Mytilus edulis: one gene and its partner. The protein of the gene in region 1 interacts with the protein of each later gene in a pairwise test. Links are inferred from orthologs where the notes say so. Each region holds a gene or a part of one and is shown in the gene's direction. Other genes may lie near its edges.

The links.
Region 2: the proteins of serine/threonine-protein kinase NLK-like (region 1) and dihydrolipoyllysine-residue acetyltransferase component of pyruvate dehydrogenase complex-like interact in a two-hybrid assay, tested with the Caenorhabditis elegans proteins (2 studies listed by BioGRID, with this or other methods). The link is inferred for Mytilus edulis from reciprocal best matches to the Caenorhabditis elegans genes lit-1 and dlat-1.

Annotation. Positions count from the first base shown.
Region 1 is NC_092349.1:90,583,138-90,590,982, forward strand, and holds the start of serine/threonine-protein kinase NLK-like, read left to right. Parts: upstream 1-4,821; 5' UTR 4,822-5,358; coding exon 5,359-5,540; intron 5,541-7,454; coding exon 7,455-7,584; intron 7,585-7,845. UniProt on the Caenorhabditis elegans protein: Has a role in the Wnt signaling pathway controlling the asymmetry of cell divisions during embryogenesis. Operates in the AB and EMS cell lineages influencing cell specification.
Region 2 is NC_092355.1:10,360,327-10,368,319, reverse strand, and holds the start of dihydrolipoyllysine-residue acetyltransferase component of pyruvate dehydrogenase complex-like, read left to right. Parts: upstream 1-4,907; 5' UTR 4,908-4,967; coding exon 4,968-5,077; intron 5,078-7,476; coding exon 7,477-7,550; intron 7,551-7,993. Other genes in the region: MORN repeat-containing protein 2-like, read right to left, coding at 1,124-1,141, 4,645-4,654. UniProt on the Caenorhabditis elegans protein: The pyruvate dehydrogenase complex catalyzes the overall conversion of pyruvate to acetyl-CoA and CO(2).

The DNA of each region.
Region 1 (7,845 bases):
CTAATTAATATGTGATCATACAGAGGAAATGTTGTACAAGTTCTTCATATATATATATATTTCATTTTCTGACCAGTATATAATATGTCTTGTTGTTTTATATGTACTAATAGGTAAATCGTTGCATTTCTTTCACTTTCCACTTCAAAAGCCATGACTACCATGACTACACCAAATGTATTTCTATGTAAAACAACACTAAAAACAGAAAACAAAAAGTATTCTGCAAATTGTGGCAACTTTCCCTTGAATATGTAGTTTACCTCTACCCATCAAATCCATTAATAAAAATATATACATGGTATTTGGTTTTCAATGATATATAACCAGAAATACATTTACTTAACAGTTGATGCCCCATGCTTTAAACATTTATATTAAAACTCATTATAAATGCATCATTTAATTTCACTATTTATAGGGCAAAGTATACTCAATCATATTGCCTTCAAATGTATATTTAAATTTCATCAAAATAAGAAACAGATGAAATAAAATGTACATCGATATTTGAAAACAGAGAGACACTGGATCCAGAGGTCAGTTCTCTTTTAATTTGAAAATCTCCCTTGAAAGAACAGTCTTGTGAAAATCTGCACTTTATGAGATACAACTTAAGATGTTTCTCCAGTATAAGTCATAGTTTAATTTTTCGAAATTGTTAAATAATGTTGAACGATTATTTGTTAACTATAAACATATTGTCAAATGTGACTAATTATTTGTTTTAGCTCATTAATACAATGATTTATTTGAATGCTCTATAAAACAAAATAAAAGAGCAGAGTTCCAATGTGCTCTGTGTTGCACTTATTCTATATTTTCAAGAGACATACATAAATTAGGCCGTTAGTTTTCTCGTTTGAATTGTTTAACATTGTCATTTTGGGACCTTTTATAGCCGACTTATATAAGGTATGGGCTTTGCTCATTGTTAAAAGCCCTACGGTGACCTATAGTTGTTGATTTATGTGTTATTTTGGTCTTTTGTGGAGAGTTGTCTCATAGGCAATCATACCACATCGATAGGCGAATCCAGGCCCCCCCCCCCCATTCGTGGGGAAAATTTTGTTGATTATATAGGGAATCATGGAAGCATGACTAGAGAGGCCCCCCTTTAGGTCAGTCAGCGCCCCTCCTCCCCTCTTGATAAAGTAAAAATATCGATTGCATAATCCTTTAAATTACAGCCTAGAAAATTAAAGAAAATAACATTGTATTTATATAATTCTTTAGGATTACATAATCTAAATCTTTAAATAATGTTTTAAAAATACTTTGATATAGATAACATTATACAATATAGATAGACATTACGTATTATTTGTTTTTACAATCCATAAAGATGGTTATTATAATACAAAACATAATTCTGTCTTCATTAACAATCATGACCCAATTCTTTTAGTGTAATTTCATCCCCCCCCCCCCTATACTTGCTATTTGAGGCATAAAACATGGAGAAATACCTTTAGAAGGGGTATAGAAAAACTGTCAAGTAACACACTGTCCACAATAGGGTTTATATTTGTAAACACAAATCAAAGAAAGAAAATTGTGGTTTCGGTTGTCATGGGTCATGCCACACATTTTTAAACTAGATACCCCACTGATGCATGTGATGATTGTGGCCAAGTTTGGAATAATTTGGCCCAGTAGTTTCAGAGGAGAAGATTTTTGTAAAAGTTAACGACGTGGGACGCGGGACGCAAAGTGATGGGAAAAGCTCACTTGGCCCTTCTGGCCAGGTGAGCTAACAATCCAAACATATTTATAATCTTAAATAACTAAAATGCTATAAAAGCACATTTCTCTAATTTTAAAAAATATGTTTTCTTTCATTTTTATGTTGATAAGTGAATAATTGAACAAATCTTGTGTATGGACACAGATGTATGACAATGACATATCTCACTCATTACAATCTCAATCTTTTTCAATTAAATTAAAAACATCCAATCAAATTTTAGTAACCTTAGTTCTGAGTATTTTGAGATGGCTGTTATTATTACAAATATTACATTAAAAGTCAGGATGAAACATTGTAAGTTATAAAAATACATTGTCATATTTTAAGGACATGTCTATAAATTGTTTTATTAATCTAAACTATTTCATATATTTTTACAATACAATGGGAGACAAATCATGTTTAACAATTTTGATTTTTGATCAATATAGATTGTCTCCCTTATTTTAGAAAAATAAATTTAAGATGAATATCATTCTATTTATCAATTTCAACTGCAGTTAAGATTTGTTTTCTTCTGTAGAAAATACTATTTTATAAACAAATAGAATAGAGAATGGAAAAGGGGGAATGTGTGAAAGAGATGACAACAGAAAACAGCTCATGGCCAACAATGGGTCTAAATGCAGCAAGAAAATATTACACCCAGGAGCAGGCTTCAGAAGGCTGCATATATATATTTAAGTCTCTCACAACTGTTATAAATGTGATACGGTCTTTAGATCAATACATGTATTTGTAAAAAAAAAAAGTGTTGTTCTATTGATTGATGACATAGGTAATTGGAGACACTCCTCCCAGAAACATCTTGCCTTGAAACACCCTGCAACATAGCTTTAGTGAACAAGTCACATCAAATGCTCCAACATAAATATTAGGTAAAGGTCAACCCAAAATCTCTGAGAATGTTTTTTTCTTAGTAGCAATCTATAAAAAAAATTAGGATGGCATGCTTTCACATCTGTGAGAAAGTGATCTATAGAATGGTTTTACATTAACAGGTTTAAGTTCTTATAAGCTTGCTTTCAGTTATTGCAAGTATTATGTGATAACAGTATTATTTAACATTAAAGTGTGTTTTTCTTTATTAAAGCATTTTTTGTTGTTGAGTTTTTGATATCTATCATACTTTTATCCTAGACCTCAGTGCTTTTCTTGTATTGTTCTAATTGTATTTTTTATTTATCTTTTGATAGTCAGCTGTTGTGAGAAGTATATACTCTGTGGGAATCAGATCCATATTTTACCTACGATCGTTTGTAATTTTTGAGTAGTTTCTCTTCCATTGATTTCAATCTAAGATATATACCCAGTGACGTGTGTGAAAAAAGTCAAAGTGAACATTTAGGTCATATATTGACCTATAATGGTTTACTTTTTTGAAATTGTTATTTGGATGGAGAGTTGTCTCATTGGCACTCACACCACATCTTTCTATATCTATTTGTGACTGAACTAGTATTTTCTTTCCTTCTCTAATTAAAAGTATTACAGTAGTGGTCAATAAACTGGTTCCTCTTGCGTGACTGTGTGTGTCAGTGTGATTATCATGATGCTGATAGATTATCAGAGTTTAAAAACGCGAAAATGGAACAATATCTACAGGTCCAATTCTTACAAAACGTTTTTTTAGTGCTTGACATGATATTCATTTGCTACTTGCTAGTGCTGTTCACTTAGCTTTGAACTGTATGTATTGGTCCTCTTTGGTGATTTCTGATTTCCCCGCTTTTCTGAGTAGCCACCTACATGTCTGTTGTACACACATTAAATGTTAAATTTGTGTTACATATCTTCCACTTACAATTAAAACTATACATACCAGTTTTAAGGCAATAATCTTCTGTCTAAACTCCACATTACATAAGGCTCTCCAAGAATCAATGATCTGTTATATATAATGATGCTACATTGATCACTCAGTAGATGCCCTATCTTTAAATCAATCTAAAAATATCAATGAAATCTAATTTTATCTGATCAATTATTCCACATCTACATGGATCTATAAGTTCATTAGTTGTAACCATCTTTCCACAAGATAATTCAACAACTTTTCAAAATGGATACAATTTGCAACATGAAAAAAATAATAAAAAAAATAATAAATTTACAATTTTCGTAAAATCATTCTTGAAATTCATAGACTAGTATCACATCTTACATCTGAACATTTTTTTTTTTATTTTTCCCAATCCCTGTTAATTCTGCCCCAAAAAAACTTCGTTAAAAATCATGAAAAAAAGGAGGATGTTTTCCCTTACATGCATGACCCATCACCTGGAAAATAATTATGATTACTGACTTGATATTTATATACACATATATTTTGTTTTTATTTACACATTCCCATGTATTTAATATAGTTTAATAATAACTTATGCCAAAGCCCTACCCCCTCCCCCCCTATCTCAAATTTTGTAAGTCTGTTTAAAAGTCTAAAAATGAAGAATTTTTCCTTCCTTTTCTACCTCTTTTGAAGTTCAAACAACAATTGGAATGTAAGAAAAAAATCATAGTGCTTAAGGCTATCTTAAAAAAATGAATTAAGTTCATATTTAATTTCTCAATCATACTATTGAAAAACAATTTTAATCTCCTTGAAGTTCAGTTTTATAATTTTTTTTATTAGAAAAATAAAAAATTCTACAAAGTTTAGAAATTATTCTTTCATTAATTTTTCAAAGGATGGATTTTTTGCAAACATAAATGTATCAAAAAAAATAATAATTTTGTCTTTATTAATTTTTGTCTTTTTTTTCCATTCAATAAAGTTTTATTAAATATTTTAATTTGTACAAATCCATCAATTGAGCTTCATGATAGTTCAATTCGACAAATACATGAACAATTGTCCAATTAAACAATAAACAGATAATTATCAATAAGTAAATCCTAATTAACCAATTATACTCCATGTCATAAGAACATTGTTATTTTCCCAGTGTTTTTCAACATTTGTGTAATTGAAATTATCCTTATTCGGATTACGTGTATATATATTCGTAGGATGAGATTTTTATGACGTGATCAAAACATGAATAAAGAAAACAAGGCTTCCACAGTCTACATCAGTCCTTTGTCGTCATGATGATCACTTCCGTAAAAAGAAATAATTAGTGGGCGTGTCTTTCACAAACACGTGCTTTCGGTTTGACATATTGTTGAAGTCCTTCTTCAGTTACCGGACATTTTAAGAAAGTATGAGTCTTAAATGGATTGTATTATTTTGAGATTTTGATAACAACTATCTTAACATTTTTCATTGATTCCTAGATGTTTCGCTAGTGGATAATTGAAAAAGATTAATTAAATTTTACTTTTCTTTTCGTGACCTACAACAGACAACATTGCATTTTGGGAAAGATTGAAGCGTTGTCACGTGATTTCTTTGTGTGCCGTACTCGCGTGTGAGTCAGAACCCTGTCACCAAATAACACGAAATTATCTTTATGTTTTGGTAAATTTATATAAGATTTCAACACCAAACTCTCCAGTTAATTCGGAGAGTCATTAGTGAGTGTGGATGTATCGGACTTAGAAATGCAACAGTGAAATTTGAGCATTCCAAGCGTTTTTTTCGTGCAGGCAGTGTTCGTGGGGTTGTAATGGCAGTGGTTGGACATAGACACGCGAGGCATATCATGGCTTTTCAAGGAGGGGCACCACCCGCTCCATCTCAGCATGCAATCCTCACAGCAGCAGTAGCTGTCCCATACTTTCAGGTTGTTCCTCCTCAAGACGTACAACCCGACCGGCCAATCGGTTATGGGGCTTTTGGTGTTGTATGGTGAGTGTATATTTCTTTGTTCGTCTCGTGCAAGTCTGTTCATAGAATATTTTAAACAAAGAAATAATAATAAAATGTTCATTTTCATATTATTCAATTAGTCAAAATAAAAAAGAAACGGGTACCGTTCATTGCCTCATCTTCGTTTCAACTTCTTTGTTCTTGAAGTAATTTCTTTGTGACATTGTCACAAAATCAGCTGATTGTTCGTGACAATGTGAACACAATTTACCTTTTTACAAATAAAGCATTCCATTCATAATTTAACTGGATTGATAGATAATTGTTATCAATTAAACTTAATAGAAAAACGGTATAAGATACAAATTAAAATTTATATGAAATTATCTTGTACGGACAGGTGAAATATATTTTGGAATTCATTTCATTTGATGTGACTTTATATTTGATTAGTAGACATGAACTTAGAGAATTTGTTTTTGTTATGAATTAAAGATATGTTGGTCATTAAAAATAGTTAAGTATGATCCACAGTCAACTTTTAGCTTTTTGTAAACAATAATAGTTTCACAAAAAAAATATCAAAACATCTTGGAAAAAAAAATTCCAGGTTTCAGTTCACAGTTGTGGTCCAATTGTTAACCTTATATATCTATCAGTTTTAAAAAGAAAAAAATCCCATCCAGCTCACACAGAAGTTAAACATATACTTATATTTTATAGGATGTTCAACATGTTCAATGTAAACAAATGAAAATAAACAAAAGGGTATTCAAGATACATTGTCATGAATGTGGTCACTTTAAACTATATACAATCCAAAAAGAAGCAAACAAAAAAACGATCGTTTTAAAAGAATATGTTAATTTGAAGCATTATTTTTAACAACCCCAGCTGTCAGATACAATACTTGAAAAAGTAAAACGAAAATCTTTTTTAAACGAGACCTCATGCCAACTTCCTTTCTGTAAATTGGAAATTGTCTTAAACTACATATAAAATACCCATTTGTAAGTATATATTGATGCATTTGTATAGTTATGGGTAATACTACATGTTTATTATGTGTGACATGCACAAGTATTACTCAAGAAAATTGTGCTACATGTACATGTACCACATTCCTACATTATTTGTTTATGAAATTTTTATTCAAAAATCAAATCAGAACATGCAATCTGATTTTACGATTAATCAATTAAGTTTTCAAGTCAACTCTTAACCCTATCTTAAGTCTTAAATTGATATATTACATGTTACAAGAAGAATATTTTATATCTGAATTTTGTTGCGTTGTATACGTAAAGACAATTTAAATGCACAGAAACCTTGATGTTAAAATGTTGAACTTGTGATGAAAAGACATTAGTTCTAGGTGACTGTCCATAGTGATCATTGACAACTTTTAACAGGTCAAAAAAGTCATTTACATTTTATTCATAGAAGTTAATGACACCGAGGTAAATGACCACAAAAATTTCATGTCAAATTTTAACATGATCTCAAAATGTACTTAAAAAAGATAGATACTTTTTATATAGTTTTGATTTTAAAAGACATCGATATCAATATTGAAATTTGTAGTTGATACGGGTGAAAAAAGTATAAACAGTTGGTTGTTTGTTGTACAGAATTGATTCACATGACTGTGTTGTATGGTTGCTGTCTTTTTGACATTTATTCTTCATCTCATACAAAAGATTTATAATTCGCTTTGCAATTCCTGAAAATTATGACACATAAAGTTTGTATGAAAAAAATAATTGTATGATTGCTGGTGACTTTCAGTCTACTATTCATAAGTTCGTATGATGTGGATGTAAATAATTATAATCTCTTCCAAAACGAGCAAAACATGCACAACAAAGTCAGCTATGAAAGATCACAAATTTGAAACCATTCATAAATTTTATAATTTGGTCCACCATAATTGAAAGTTTAATCTATTTATAGGTCAGTGACGGACCCAAGAGATGGAAAGCGAGTGGCCCTGAAGAAAATGCCAAGTGTGTTCCAGAATTTAGTCTCCTCCAAGAGAGTATTCCGTGAACTGAGAATGCTTTGTCACTTTAAACACGACAACGTAAGTACAAGAACATGATGAAGATTTTTCAAAATATATATATATACCGTACATGTAAATCATCATGTACAAGTAATGTATTTAATTTATATAGTTCTAGCAACTCAAATCATTGCTTTGATTTGTCAGGTCTTTCATTATTACTCATTTATGCACAGCTTTGTAAAAGTTAAAATAACATAAAAACTGATCTCTGCTCGAGGAAAATTGGAAATTGAAGTCCATAGTCAAATAGCAAAATCAAATTCTCAAACACTGCTA
Region 2 (7,993 bases), on another chromosome or scaffold:
GACGAGCAAAATTTCTGCACCTATATTGTATTTTCATTATTTTTAAGCTAATATATTAGCTTTGAGAACCTAAAATTGATAAAACTGTAACTGTAATAATGTCAGCTGCTGTGCAAAGTGTTTTTCTTTTGAGATACGATATTTTCACACAACAAAATGTCTCACCAATCCGACTACACTATTTCGTCACATGTCAGAATTCGGGTTAATGATTGGTTAGAAGATCAGATATTCTCGCATACAGTGGAACATACATATTTAATTCTAAATCTTCGATAAAAAGATTTCCGCAAAAAATTGAGATACGAGGTTTTTGCATAACAGCGACGATATGTAGTTTGTCTTTGTTAATCTTTACAATGTACTGATAATTATTGGAGTAAACTTTAAAAGAAATATTGCTCTCAATTTATTTAAATATGTTTAAAAAGGGCTTTTCAGTGGCGGATGGATCCAGAACTTTTCATAAGCGGGGGCCTGCTCCAGTCATGCTTCAGTGATTCCCTATATAATCAAATATCAAATTTTTTCCATGAAAGCCCCCCCCTCCTGAATCTGCCTATGCTATTATTTTCTATTTCAAAGTCATAGTGCATACACACAATACATATGAAACATAATCTTTAATTTGATACATAAATCAAGACCAATTGGACATCCACCAACCACCATACATCTTATATAAAAACACAAATTACAGCTTGGTTTAATCAAATGGTAAATTTCCTCAGACTGTTTCAGATTCTTGAAATAAATACTGGAAAACAATACTCATATTAAGGCAGAGCAAAAATGGCTTGTTTCAGCAATATTTATTTTGTTTGTTTTTTTTATTGTTTGGTTATGTCTTTAAAATGTAATACAAAAAGCTTTAATCACAAACATTCACATATAGTGTTAGTTGATTTGAGTTGCTGGAAACTACTTCTATGAAATTACGTCATGTCAAACAGGTGGATACAGAATTTTACTGTGGTTTTCAAATGCAATGTGAAAACAATGCAAAAAATAAGAATACAATTTCATTTTAAATAATTTCTGAGAAGTAGTTTCACAACAATAAAACACATTTTACAACAACATTTTTATTCATATTTAGATTCACACAAACACGACAAATTACCTTCAACTATTTGATTTTCTGAAATATTTTTAAAATTTAAGATTTGTTTTTACTTCTTTACCAAGAGACAATCATGGTGAAAAGTTTCAATCTTGTTCATTGAACTGAATGTTACAGTTTCTTCTTTTGTTGTGCTCTTTCATCACTGTCCCAGTTTAGAGGGGGGCTAAGCACCAACAGATATGTTCAACCCCTCCACATTCTTTATGTCCCTGTCCAAAGAACCTGTAGTTTAGTGGCAGTCTTCACGATGAACTGCTAGATCTACAGGCCCAGAGCTCAATTTTTGAAAATTTTTAGTTAGATTCTGTTGGCCTGAGGATATGATTTTTACAGGCCCGAGAGCAATTTTACAAGCCTAGGCTGCCTGGGTTGCCACTCAGCATGAAGACTGTAGTGGTGGTCATTGATTCATGTCTGTCATATTTGTTTTTCATAAATTGTTTTGTTATAAATAGGCCATTACTTTTCTCAATTGAATTGTTTCATATTTTTTCATTTCAGGTCCTTTTATAGCAGACTTTACAATATGGTTTTTTTCAATGTTATAGGCTGTATGGTAGCCTTTAATTGGTTACATCCACTTCATTTGAACTTCGGTGCATATATGTCTCATACCATACATGTACATCATCTCCTAAACTTTTTTACAAATAAAACCTTTTTGTTGTTCTTATGATAAGTGTTTTCTCAGAAAATTTAATAAAAGAAATTAAGCAAGTGAATAACTTAAATTTAACATCGATGGATTTTTTTTTATCTTTAATTGCTTCACTGCACATGCTGTAGGCTATATATTTCTTTTTTCATTTTAATACTTGGCTCTAAATTTTTAAGCTATCATTTTTATGTTAACCTTAATGTATAAAAACAAAGTAAAACATAAATCCAATTGATGGTTATAGAGTATAATGGGCCAAGTAAATGACAGTGGACAAAATGAATTATAAAAAAAGTGAAAACTTTCATCAAATTAAAACTTATATGTGTTGTATTGAAAAACAATTGATGCAGGCAATACTGTAAACCAACTTATTTTCGCGACTTTCGCGAGTAAAAAAATAACGCGAATTTAAATCGTAGTGAATATGGAAAGCTTGGATAATTCCTTTTTAAACTTCATCAAGTCAATTAGAAAATCGCGAAATTAAATAGCTGCGAAGTGGTCATGAAAGGGTAAAACGCGAAAAAAAGTATCCGCGAAAATAAGTTGGTTTACAGTAGTCTCAAAAGTTTCTTAAATTCAATGGTATGGTTGAAACATTTCACTAATTTAATAGTTGACAATATATTTCTACAAATACAAAGTCTTTGTGTAAGATCTAGATGTTTAAGTTTGAATATATTTCAGTTAAGAAGTTGAATTAAATATAAAATGTGATTTTAAAATGATAAACAAATGAAGTTAATACATGTAATATTAGCTGAGGAAATGTAGTAGTCATTTTAATTGATAATATATTGTGCTTAAGAGTTTTATAGATTTTAAATTAAAAGAGTTATCAATTATGTGAGCAGTATAACAGAACTAATTGCTGCTACAATAAAAAACACAATGTGATTCATTACAATATTATAAGTTATGGTAATTATAACACCACGCAAATGAGATGTGAAGATCATTGATGTTAAAATGTACACAGAGTTCTGTAAACTAACAGTTTATTATCACAACTCCCTTGAATTTAAATATAAATATACTTAATAATTAAGGGTTTTACAATTTGTTTATTTCTTATAAAATAGTTAATAAGTTACATTAGCATAATAGACGTAATTTGATTCCTCTTTTGCTCAGAAAAAGTCACCTTATGTTTTGTGTACATTAAATAGAAGAACTCATTTAAAAATAGGAGCTATAAATTGAATGGTCTTTTGATGTCTCTAATTCTTTTTAGAAACATTTTGCTTTGTATCAACATGATCAATATTTTAAGAAATAAAAAGTAAAATCACAAAAATAATGAACTCTGAGGAAAATTCAAAATGGAAAGTCCCTAATCCTTAAATCAAACGGCAAAATCAAATGATAAAACACATCAAACAAATGGACAACAACTGTCATATTTCTGACTTTTTTTACACAAGATTGGTCGATTATTTTTAAGCATGACATGTGAAAGTCAAATAATTAAGTGTAAAAACAGGAAACAAAGTCCAGCATGACAAAGGAAATTACATTTATGAGCTAGAAAGGGGACCCCCTATTAAAGAAGAAAATAATAGAAAAAAAAACTTGTATTTTAAATTTAAAAAAAATTCCCGCAAAAATATCATTCTATTTATTTACTCAAATTTGTTTTAAAAAATCAGACTTTTTTATTTTCCTGCATCTGCGCAGAAATCTACTTCCTTCTTTCGGTCTTGTTTGTCATGAGAATATATATACATGTATATAGTAAAATATAGGGTAACACGAATGACCGAATAACACTGTTATTATCGGAATAACACTTGTAATGACTGAATAACACTTGAAATTTTAATATTAGCACATATTGGTGACTTTTAAACATTGATTATTAAATAATAATATATTATCTATGTATTTTATATGGGGACGAAGTCCCCAATTACGGTAGAAAAATCAATAAAAAAAAAAAAAAAAAAAAATCGAGAAAATGTCCTGAATTTTTCATTCTACTAATGAACTCAAAATCGTTAACTTTTTTTTCAGATCTACATCCGTTTCCGGTCTTGTTTGCATGAGACTTTGAAAAAAATGTATATTTACATGTATCATAAAATTGAGAATGGAAATGGGGAATGTGTCAAAGAGACAACAACCCGACCAAATAAAAAACAACAGCAGAGGGTCACCAACAGGTCTTCAATGTAGCGAGAAATTCCCGCACCCGGAGGCGTCCTTCAACATATCAACAAATATAGGAAGGAATTTAACACTTAATCATTTTTAATAATTGTTTGATATCAAAAAGACGTTACCTTTTATTATAACAGCGTTTGTTTGTTTACATTGAATATGACGTCATAACTTAAATAACGTCACAACTAAATACCTACCAACAGAACCAATATCGGAAACGTTACTGTATTTCCATTTCTTTTATCAACATGTTTGAATTAAAAAAAATAATAATACAGACTTCGTCCCCATTCACCATGTTCACAGGTAATGCCTGCCTCATATTAACTTAAAAATGATTTACAGAAAGCAGTTAAGTTCATAAAGATCATTTAAAAATGTGTATGTACATCGAACATGGGGACCACAAAAATCACAATGGATGTACACACTAAATTATATATCTATAAGTCTAGTAAAATATTACATACAGACTTCAACCTTTTATAGGTTATGCCTGCCTCATATTATGGCAACTAGCAGGATACAGGATTGTCATAAAACAATATAAGGGCGATCTTGGATCAGTCTCCGATCCCCCTCCCCTTTTCCCCAATGTCAATGAGACCCCCATTATCAATTTATGGTCATTTTACATTTCAATTTTTAAAAACAATAAAAAAAAAAAATTCTTTTCCTATGGTCAATGTTATACCTGCAGGCATGTCTGTGTCAGGTAATCTGTTGAATAGTAAATTATAAAATCTGTGAACTAATAGATGGAGGCAGACATTTGTAAACAAAACACCATGGAAATGAACTCACGCGAGATATTAAACTTAAAATTAGTTTCGGATATATATGCAAACTCACAGAAAAATATAATAATTTCTCATTTTAAACCCTTAATTTCATTCTAAATTTATAATTGATCTATTTGAAAACAAAACGGAAACAAATAATCAAATAATATGTACGAAACTACCTGTGACATTGCTGCTGACATTGGACAACAAGTTGCAGACAACAAATTTCAAAATGTTTCGTCCAACACGACTTGCACGTGTATTGCTTAGACTACAAAGAAAACACAGCAACAATCTAAGAACACTTGCTACCAAAAATAATCAGTTTTATTTAAAATCAAGGTACAGACAAGAAATGTTTCACATTCGGCTTTCATGATGAAATCTGATGATCTGTTATATTATTTTATTATCTGTATGAGTACGTTGTCGATACCAATACTGGCTTTCATATAACGGTATGAGAGCGCTGCCGATTTATTGACGGGGCGTGAGAGCAGATTTAAAGTTTCTACGCTTGATGTGCGCACTACAGTGTCGTCAAAAGCTGGTTCCACTAGAATAATTATTTATCTTCTCTTGAAAAGGATTTTGACTCTTATGACAATTGTATAAACTTGTTTACGGTTGTACACAAATTTGTCTGTCATTATTAAAAAAAATACATACAAGGTCATGAAGGTCCTGCATAAAAGAGCATCACATTGACACAATAACATTTACAATGCTTATATCCTGTCTGACCTGGCCCCTTGAACTTTTGATGCATACAACAATCACTTTTCCATTGTGTCGTCAGATATTTTGTATTATGACCTCAAAATTTAAAGGAAACCCGTGTGATATCCAGTAATGGTGGACAAATAGTGATAAGGTGTATATTGACATTGACACAGCGTCAGCGTGATCAGTAACATATTTATTGACAAGATATTAATAAAATGTCTTCAAACTAGTTTTAAAGTGATGCCAGTGTATCAAACTTGTAACTTATCTCTGAACATGCAAAATGGTACAGAATGCAAAAAATAAAAAAATGGTGTTGAAATTGAATAACATTATAAATACTTTCCACAAATATTAATCAGATTTTTTGGTCATTTTATATGACAAAATATATCAACTTTATGAAAAAAAACTTGTATTTATTTACGATTAGAATTAGGTAGATTCATCATGTTCATTGAGCAGTTCAGATACATTTGTAGTTTTCAGTTAGACACATACATGTATATATAATCCATAAATCTCGTTAAGTCTCATGGAGTCAGAGATTTCATCAATATTTTATTCTAAAAAGCCTATTTTATTCATTTCCTGTTAAATATACTGTTCCCAGGCGTGATGGATATTTTAAAACCTGATCATGATTTATGAAACAAGAACATATGACCATAAAAGACTTAATTGCACTGTTAGCTATATATATAGATGGTTAGTATTTAGCTGAATTTATTTTTCTCCAAACGATGCAAGATATTTCTGAGAATTACCTTTAGACCTTGAGTAAAAATCACTTTACAGACCATTTCATTGAGTGTGTAGATAGAGGTAATATCTTTGGTTTGCTTGCTTGCTGAACCATGAAGTCATTATTAAAACAATATCCAGGCTGACTGGTTGGGATGTCTCTTTGGCACATTACCCATTTCCATTCTCAATTTTATTTGAATTAGTCTCAGTTTACTTTTTAATGAAATCTTACTATACAAATCCTTGATGAAATGCAGGACAATTAACTATTATGAGAAATTAAGATAGTGTTTCCTACAGGTGGTTTTGGTGTGTAATGGCGCCCTGCCGCGATTTCTCGACGCCCTGCCCTTTTTGGGAAAAAAATTTGGCGCCCTGCCCTAGTTTTGTCGAAATTCCTGACGCCATACCTTTACGGTACTGAAAGACATATTTTATGAATACCGCTCGAGTTATTTCCCTTCAAACGTAAACAAAAGTTCACTAGGACGCCATTTTGTAATCGATTTCGTAATCAGCTGATTAGCAAACTGCAATAGATTGAAAAGTGAATACAGATACTAATCACGCGTCCTGATTGTATCCCCCAAGTCCCAGAAACATCGTTTTGCCTAGAAGATTATGATATGACATTGTTTTGACAAGAAACTAAACCGGAAAACGATTTCAAAACATCGATTGCTTAGATCAATATTTTTGACAGCTGATAGATATCTAATTTACATAATATACATTGTTTGCATGGTTGAACAAGCCAATGAATGTCGATCATGAGACATTTGTCAAAGTGAAAAGTAAAAATTCTTTGCAAACTATTTTTAAATACAAATGCTTGACTGTACCTTAAATGAAATGAATAAAAATCCAAACTAAATTATTAAAAGCAGAATAATCCAGAAAATAAATGAATTCCTTGATGAAATGTTGTCTTTTGTTTACAAACATGTCACATGATCATTTTAGGCGGGAAAAATACTTTGGAAAACACCTAAGTAACAGACAACTATTTCTGGCTATTTATAGACATTTAAAATAAACAGCTGATATGGTAGTGCCATGAAAGTAGTAAAACTTGGTGTATCTATATTAATTTAATTTGGAAATTATTTTTGTTTATGTTACCAGATGTAACTGGAACTACACACTATTTTATTTTCGCATAAACAAAAATAATTGAAGGAAAATTCTTGCTGATGATAAACCAACATAAAAAAATAATTTGCTTCTTCATATTTTTACTTTTTCCATATTTTTTGTCTGTTTTGTAGCAACACAACCAAAGATGTGCAGCAGCTTTTACAGGTTCACAGATTGGTCCAGAACTACCGATGTTATAGTTCAGGTATGATGTTCTTACATTTTATAGCAAATACACTATCATTTATTTTTTACTTGGTGCATAAATGTGTGTTTTCTTCTTGGTTCATATAAGTGTTTTCAATATAACATGTTAGTTGAAATTTTTCTCTGACACATTTTTTGATACTGAAAACAATGATTAAACTTATGGCAACTAGTGGCAGAAAGCTTTTCTATTTTGAAAATGTATCAATCTTGATTTTTTCTTCTATAGCACCTACAATCATGACAATGTATCAGTTAAAATTGATTGTCATGATTATGTGACATAATGTGTCACTTTGCTTTCCTTCAAATTTACATGTTTTGAATGGTTGAATTTGTGGAAAGTTATAATAAAATAAACAGAAAATGTCTATGGATAGTGATCAAGGCTAAAAACGGATTTACCACCAATTTTATGAATAATTTCACTTATCATTTTGA